Oryzias latipes: one gene and its partner. The protein of the gene in region 2 interacts with the protein of the main gene of each other region in a biochemical or structural test. Links are inferred from orthologs where the notes say so. Each region holds a gene or a part of one and is shown on either strand. Other genes may lie near its edges. The genes, in order: shh and ptch1.

Region 1 (4,282 bases), on a different chromosome or scaffold from region 2:
TTCATTATCCTCTCCGGCAAAGTCCTGAAACGTGACTTGCTTGCTTAAGTTGAGGTGTTTTTGGATGCTGACTGACAGACCTTTGGAGATCTGTGAGGGCGTGCAGAAGAGCATCTCTAAACGCTTCATTCAGAAAATTCTATGACAACTGCTGTTTTATGAGGGCTGTTTCACTCGCAAAATGCACTAAAACAACTAGAAAACAAGTTTTGCGCACTTTTAACATGGAACAAAGCGGTGCAAAGCTTTATCCTTTTATTAATTCATCAGGTCGTGTGCCACGAATCAAGCCAAATTCTACTCAGCCACCATGAAGCCCAGCGGGGCGCTTTGGACCGCTGGGCTCCTCGTAAAGTTGTTCAACAGCCTGCCCACTTAATCTTCTCACAAATGATTGGGTTAAAGGAAACACTTGTCAGCTACCTGTCAGTGCAAACAAACTCCCATCTCATCTCTACCTTTACAGAATGGATAAACACGAAAGAAACTTTTATGAGCCATTTAATCTCCTGTAAAGCGTGAAGACCGAAAAACAGCAAAAGATAATTCCGTAATTCAAAAATCAAAAATAGTGGACAAATTAAAAAATAAAGAAGTGCAGTTCTCTAAAAGAAACAACGAAAAACGATGCCCACAATGATCAGATCAGATTGTGGAAGACATGTAGAGAAAATAAATAAAAACTATCTGAAAACTTGTGTAAAGCAAACCAAATCTGCTGATAACTTTCCTGGGGGCGAGCTGCTCCTCCTTCAAAAACACAGTCCTGGCCAGACTTCAGTGAGCTGACTCATTAATTTATTTACTGCACACATCTAACCGAGCTCCTGAAGGCACGTGCCTTACTTCATGTACAACACCTGTTTTCTGAAACACCAGATAAGGAGAGGAGCCGGTCTTTCTGCGTGCGTAAAATCCCGCGCGTAAAAATCAAGTGGCACAAAGCCCAAAACAAAGCAAAAACGTTGCGACAGCTTAAATCTCCATGTGATTATGCTTATGTCATTCACTACTGCGTTCCCCTCTGTTTGGATTTGCATGGTTGAATTTGATATTGCTCTGCTGTGAAATGCACGATGACGCAGGAATAACCTAGTTTAACTTGCGCCGACCCCCGACTGACCAAAAGTTCAAAGTTTATATTGAGTTCCTTTTACACGCACAAAGAGTTGTTGAATGAGGACTGGCTAGTGAGGCGCCAGCCACAAACGACTCAGCAATAAACAGACTTAAACGTGCATTTTAGCCACTCATCCACGTGGACGCGCCCTGCCAGTGCAGCAGGTGGAACATTTTCCAAAGAGTCTTCAGATTGAAGCAGGTGCTTCTATATATGTTTCTGTTCTTCTAATATTCGAAATCACCTCCCGGGCCAGTGATTTCCTCCCCACGAGTGAGACCCTCGAGGCGTCTCACACAGAGGATGAGGGGAGCGCAGGGTGGGGGCACGCGGAGAACGGACGCACGGTGAATATTTTATCAGGCTCATGCGCATGCATGGTTCAGAGCTTCATCACAACCTGCGACGCCATCATCACCACCGGCATTTCATTCTTACTGAGTCAATATCACCCAAGCGGCGTGAATAATTCACCAGGATGGGAGTGCTAAAAAGTCACACTGGAGCGACGCGGCATCCTGCAGAAACCACTGCATCTTTCCACTGTATCGCGTCTTCCTCTCTGCGCTGATTTGATCACCAACGCGCTGCATCAGGAGGGAGCAGAGAAACACATGCCATCCTGATCCAGTCCTGAAGTCTTGATGAAGCTAAAGAAACTGTGCACAAATCCAGCGCAGCCAAACAGCAGTTGGTTGAGGATAATTGTGCGAATGAGCTGCGCCATGTGTTTTGAAGCGGCGCGCAAACCCGACGTTCATGGCTGTTATTACAAGAAAAGGCGCATAAATGAGCCGCAGCATCCAAACAAGCCCTGTATGTAAGTTAGTATGAATACGCGCGTGTAGAGCAACAAATCAGGCTTCATAGAGATACAAATATAGATGTGAATATAGATGTGAGGAGAGGGGCGCATTAATATTTTATATACACTGTCACAACCATGCAGGCCGAGTGTCCTGACTGTTCTCCTGCACATCACTTCTCTGGATTTCAATGCTCGCTTCAAGCCCGCAGCGTTTCCAAACTCCCATGCTGGTGCATAAAGTGCATCTGCTCTCACAGTGAAGTTAAAAGGCTCAGTGTGAAGAGTTCAGCGGCAGGAACAACACACTTCACTTAAGGTGCGCAATCCAGACCGACAAGGAGGTTGTTGCAGTGCGCCGGGATGGTGCGTTAGGAGAAGAGGGGAGGAAATGGTTCTGTCTCCTTACCTGAGTCATTAGCCTGTCGGCTCCGGTGTTCTCCTCATCCTTGAATATGATGTCTGTGTTATAATTGGGAGTCAGCTCTTTAAATCGCTCGGAGTTTCTTGTGATTTTGCCTTCGTATCTGCCGCTTGCCCCGAGGGTCTTTTCCGCCACGTTGGGGATGAACTGCTTGTACGCAAGAGGTGTCAGCTTCTTCGGGTGTCTTCTTCTGCCGTAGCCCCTTCCCGGTCCGCAGCCCATCCCAGAAGACACTAAGGACAAGCAGAAGAGGCCGACCAAAACAAATTTGGCCCAGAGTAGCATTTTCTGTCCACCCTCCTGTCCTTTAAAGATCTCAAACGAGTCACCGGTGCTGGTCTCAGCCGCGCGTCTGTCAGGGCTCTCGCTCCGTCCTTGTCTCGCCTGGTCTCTACCGCGGCAGGTGCGGAAATGAACGCCTCAGACTAACGCTAATAACGGGGCACATCGAAAGAGGGGTTGGAAGAAAAAAAGTAGTAAGGGAATTATAAGCCACGGGATCTCTAGTCGAGCTGCAGCGTGTGTGAGCCGACCGCCTTTAATGCTTTGTATTATAGCACCGATCTATATAGCAGGGGAGGGACTAGACAAACCCTCCTGATGTTGTCCTGCACACACACGCGCGCGCGCACACACACACACATTAAAAAAAAATCTTAAAAGATTTTTCCCACCTGGGGGTTAGCCTCCGCTGCGGGGAGGAGGGGCTCCTCCATGGGAAAACATCAATTATAAACCGTCTTTTTTCACCCTCCCTCCCGTTTTCCAGCTTTCACGAAACACACACACACACACACACACACACGCAGAGGAAGCGCAGACAACTTGCACAATGCTGTGCTCAAATCTGAAGCGGCGCTCTCTTGGATGAAGTGACTTCAACGCGTGCGCTTGCGCGCGCCTGTGCGCATTTATGGCCGAGTGTGCTCCCGGCGCGCGCATGCACACACCTGGATTTGCAGTGAAAAACAAAAATAAATCAATAAATGCATTCAGTGTAAAAAATAAAAAGGAGCAAAGATTGGCATTTGTTCTAACCGACGTCCTGGCATGCAGAGGGCTTTAAAGCACAGAGATAATTAACCCATAACAGGATTTTCTTTCTATCAGGTGATCTAAATTCTAAGAAAAGTGAGCAAAGTGACTTCCAGAGTGACACTGTTGTCTGTGGTAAATATATAACATAAAACGTTCCATAAAAAGAAAGATGTAAAAGCTTTTTACTCCATATTATTCAAATAAAACTAATTAGGAATGCCATCTGTAATGTCACATTCAGATGATAAGTAATGTAAGGAAAATAAAATATAATTGACCCAAAGACAGAAATAAAAAAATATTAATGAGCAAATCTAGCTCTTTAAATCTCAGTTTGGCTATTCTCCAGCATGGTGCACCTCTCATGGTGCCATGCTGGAACAACCAGTGAAGGTGAGACCATACTTGCTGCACAATTACCAAATTTTGATTAAAACAAACTGCTTCCAGCATCACTTTCTCAGTTGTCAAAGAAATTCTAAACATTTTCTCATCAGAAATATTTCTGCAGCTGCTTTTGCAGAGGTGCTATTCAAACACAGCAGTGCTGGGAGTTTACAGTTCCCTGAGGGACACCGCGTGGTACTATTTGGCTCCGGGTCAGAGTGTTGGTTCAGGTGTCGCAGCTCTGAGATCAATCCTGATGTGACACACAAACTCCTTAAAGCCACCGAGCTGAAAGGAGGAGGTGGTGAGAGTCCTCATGTGAATGATCCATGGGCAAAGTGTTGTAATAACAAAAGCAACAACAGGGAAAATATTAGAGACTGAACTGTATTGCTTCTAAGTGACAAAATGTGATGTGGAATGACATGAATAATACAGAAAATGCAATGAATAATGCAGCTCCGAGAGCTCGTAGTGCTGATGGGTTTGAACTTGAGTTTCCCCCACA
Region 2 (4,558 bases):
GCTTATGTATCAGAAGTCATATCGTCATCCCAGTACCGATCACTAATATTGCACATCGCAAGTTTTCTTCTAATGTACAGCTCTAGTTTGCACTGTTAATGTTTAGGTAGGTTTTAGTTTAAATTCATCTTGGTTTTTGATATGAACACAGTGGAAAAAGGGGAATCCAGTGTGTTTAATCTAAAAAGTTTCTCTTGAAGGAATCCCTTTTGCCAAACTGACTAAAAGGGTGCAAAAAGATTAGAAGAGGAAGCTGTCTATCACACACTTGCAGGATGGAGAGAACAGCTAACCTGGGGAGGAGATGGGCTGCTAGAAACATTGTAGGAGTAACCCTGCTTTACTTCTGCAGCTACTTTTTAAAAAAAAGTTATGTAAGCAAAAGTCGCATTCAGAAAACAAATCTTTTGATTTGCTTCCCCTTTTTTCTGTTTAATTTCTCAAAATCTGCTCCTCCATTCATGACTCCTATTGCTGACTTCAGCCATAAGCAGAGGAATGCAGATCAAAGGAAAGGAGAAAAGCACAGCCCCCTAGCCCTCAACCCCTTTCCATCAAAGCACAACCCATGCACACAGCTTTTTTCTAAAGTTTAATTGTTTTTGTTTTGTTTGTTTTTTGTCATTAAAAGCAAAAAAAGGGGAATAAATAATAAGTGGGAGATCCAGCCTAAAAACAGCAGCTTCTGTCCAGATTCTGCTTTTTTCTCTGCAACCGGAGACACATCTTTCTGGAAAGTTGAGAGCTGTCCAAAACAGGACCACACACAGCCTCTGAGCCTTGAACTGCTGGGGGCCGACACACACACTCTTACAAAATGGCGGCTTTGACCAAACTTTTTTTTTGTAACCAAAGGATGCTTATGGGCTTAATTACAACCTTCTCCAGAAGGCTGTTACTGCTGCTTCTTGCACAGTTTGAAAAGCTAAAAAATGATTTTCAAAGTCTCCTTGTGGGATCTGACAACAAATAACCCTCTTTATTTATTCCTAGCTTCTAACAGACTTTTCCATCTCAGCATTTAAGCAAGAACTAAACAGGTTACATGCAAACTTATAATGAAGATAACACTTTAGTATCTTACCTTCCACCCAGAGTTTCTCCACATCTGTTTCCAAATTTGCTGCTTTTAAGCCCACAGCAAAGGCTCCAAAAATCATGAGCCCCACAACCAAAAACTTTCCGCAGTTCTTTTGTATGTAACAGCCCAGCCTGAATAAAAGTCTTTGGAACTTCGCTCTGAGCCACAGAGGTGCCTTTCTCCCAGTCGCCTTCCCCTGTAAGACAAGAATCCTGATGTTACTGTCGATCACAGCCCCAAAAACACCACACTTACCTGAACAGGTGAGGCCCAGAAACAAAAACAAGCACATCTGTGAAGTTAACTTCAATCCAGGCAAAACAAGACAAGGAGATCTTGTTGGAACACAGACATACTGTGCTAACCTGAAGATCTGCTGTGGTGGAAACCACTGAGGGCTCCCTGGAGTGAGCACTGCAGATCAGTAACATATAAACCACAACTTTATACTTTAGGACTAATAGTAACATCATCCTCTTCAGATCGCCCACACACAGCCTGGACACCCTTCAAGAAAAAGGGACTAACCAACATTGGTTTCCGTCTGCACCTCAAATATGGATGAAAGGAGATTAAATAATAATAATAATAATAATAATAAAAAAGATGAATCTGTCAGTTGTGCTTCTATTTGGAGTGTCATGAAGATGGCTGGTCAAACTAACCAGCATGCGTAAATGCGCACACATCTCCGTCTGTGTTTTGGAGTAAAAGACTATTCGACCCCTGAGGTGGCTCTTACTCAGCTCATCAACTACAGATATCAAGTATCTTGAATGTGGTCAAACCCACAAATGCCACACACGCGCGCGCACACATGCACGCACACGCGCCTGAGCGCGTCCAGCTGCTCGCGTGTTCCGGCCAACGTGGGGAGCGGAGGAGCCGTCACAGGGGGGTGGGGGGTATCCACGATATTTGTGAACGGAAGAGGGCAGCCACATGGGTTTCTATCCCCCGCCTCTGCCCATCTCCCGACTGTCAAACACCCTCACGTGTGTGGGGGGGCTTTGTTACGAAACAGCGCGGGGATGTGGTGAGCTGCGGGCGGGCGGGAGCTGCGTGTTGAAGCGCACAGGCTTGGTGGTGGTGGTGGGGGGGCAGAGTCCCGCAGGTTAACGCAGAAGCCACGGTGCACCAACACCAGGCAGGAAATTGGCTAAAATTTGAACCAGCACCACCCCTCCCTGCCCAGCCCGTCCCGTTACCTTCCACAGACGGGACGCACAGACTGACCCCTCTGTCTGTTGGTGAAACGCAAAAAGAAACCGGCACAATAAGAAGCTCTCATTTTGGTGAGGGAAAGAGGAGAAAAGAGCACCTCTGAGATCTGCTCCAACGCAAAGCCCGCATCGCAGTAACTCGGTCGCTGTAAATACTCCAAATCCAGCGGTGTGTTGCGGGTATAGTCCCCCCTGTTCCTCCGCGTTATCCTCGGCCGATCAGGGTCTCTGTTTTCCTGTTCGGAGGGTGCATTAGCAGCCGAGGCCATGTTGCGGGGACTGCGCGGTGGTTACCGTTTCCCACTTTATAGTATATCCCCGAAAGCGTGTAGCGATTTCCCAAGGCAACGGAGATTCACTCTCACACCCGTGAAGAAGGACTTCATACTCCAGTTGGAGACGGCGAGTCAAAGTCTGCGCCTTCCATCCCAACATTGCGTGATCCGGAGGTCTCCAGCGCGCTCACCGCATTCACCGATCCTCAGGGAAAAGTTGAAGGTTTCTTTCAGAAAGCGCGGCGTGCAGAAACGGGATTCCCATACACGAGTCTTCGGCTTGGAGGGCTCGATGGTCGCAGCATTCTGATGAGATCTCTGCAGTCTTCCCCTGGGCCGCGCGTCACGGCCAACTCTGAGATTCAATAGAAGGGGAGAAAGAGACCTCTCTCCATTTGGAGGCAGAGAAGGAGGAGGGGAGTCGGGGAAAAATACTCCAGATCCCGCCTCTGGGGCTGTCAGATTGCAGGACTTTCTTGGATCTGATTGGTTCCAGAAGGGCAAAAATTACTCAGCAAACACGACTATTATTAGCTGCTTAGCAACAGCTCACTAAAGTAGAGAGACCACCCAGGCGGGCGGACCTCATGTGTGTGCATCTCCGACTTCAGGGAAGGCTCGACCGGAGCCGAACCACTCGGTACGTTCGGGTCCATAAAACAAGGCATTTCTCAAAGAGGACCCCGGGTCTGAGGCGAAAGTTTGGGTCTGTTCGTCGTCGACGCCCGAAGAATGTCTGAAGTGAAGTTTTAAACCTTTTTCCCCCCCTTCTTTCACGTCTAGTCTGTACCATTATGGAGGTTGCGCATCAAGTTACAGTGGTTCAAGAGGAGGTTCTATAGCATTCTGTGGTGTTTTTAACAGTATGAGAACATTAAGGCTGAAGGACAAACTTTTAAACAGTTTCCACATAAATGAGTGGGTAAAAGTATGGAAAGCAAAAGTGGCACAAAATGCTAAATGTGATGTTTTGATCATTTTCAGCGTAGTAAGGCTGAAGAACACACTTTCAATGAGTGTACATCTTATTGGACAAGTATGGAAAGTCAATATGGAGTTGTGCCACTTTTGTGCCACTTTTGCTTTCCATACTTTTACCCACTCATTTATGTGGAAACTGTTTAAAAGTTTGTCCTTCAGCCTTAATGTTCTCATACTGTTAAAAACACCACAGAATGCTATAGAACCTCCTCTTGAACCACTGTAACTTGATGCGCAACCTCCATAATGGTACAGACTAGACGTGAAAGATATGGAGTCCTATACTGTTCATAATTAAATAAATAAATATTTCTTCCACTTTTGGCTTCTCCCATCAGGGGTCGCCACAGCGAACGAGTCGCATGGTAAATTTGGCAATGTTTTACGCCGGATGCCCTTCCTGACGCAACCTTCTCAAACCGGGCTTGGAACCGGCAGAGGTAGAGAAGGGAACAGGGAGCAGCCTGGAGTCGAACCCGGGTTTCACGGACGGAAGGCGCCGCAAACCAGCACGAGCTAAACTGGCTCCCGGTAAATAAATAAATATTTAATTCAATAAATAAATATGACGTCATGCAAATACACAATCAACCAATAAATCTCTCATAAATATATAAAAAGATCATGAAATTGTGAAAAACCTGCACACTGATTTTAAATTAGCCATTGTATTATTCAATATATTTCATTTTGCTTTAAAAACATGTTCATTATTTTTAAACAGCATTTTAAATATATTCATTTTAATCATGTGGAATATATTATAATTTTACGTCTTTTTTCAGAACCTCGGATTTCAAAATCAATATTTTCCAAAGTAGCTTTGTTTTTATTTCATGTTGCTGTTTTTCACAATGGCTGATTTATTTCATGAAGAGCTTTTTCAGGAGAATGGGTCTGTCTGTCAATCAAACTAGACAAGGCGGAGACACTTTTGTGATTGGCTATTCCTTTACCCAGACATGAGCAGCAGCACCCTAACTCCCCTGTCTACATCG

What was found.
Region 1: the proteins of ptch1 (region 2) and shh are reported together in a solved structure, tested with the Homo sapiens proteins (5 studies listed by BioGRID and IntAct, with this or other methods). The link is inferred for Oryzias latipes from reciprocal best matches to the Homo sapiens genes PTCH1 and SHH.

What each region holds. Positions count from the first base shown.
Region 1 is NC_019878.2:19,521,885-19,526,166, forward strand, and holds the start of shh (sonic hedgehog protein), read right to left. Parts: upstream 2,974-4,282; 5' UTR 2,635-2,973; coding exon 2,335-2,634; intron 1-2,334.
Region 2 is NC_019867.2:8,902,144-8,906,701, reverse strand, and holds the start of ptch1 (protein patched homolog 1), read right to left. Parts: upstream 2,964-4,558; 5' UTR 2,574-2,963; coding exon 2,403-2,573; intron 1,278-2,402; coding exon 1,085-1,277; intron 1-1,084.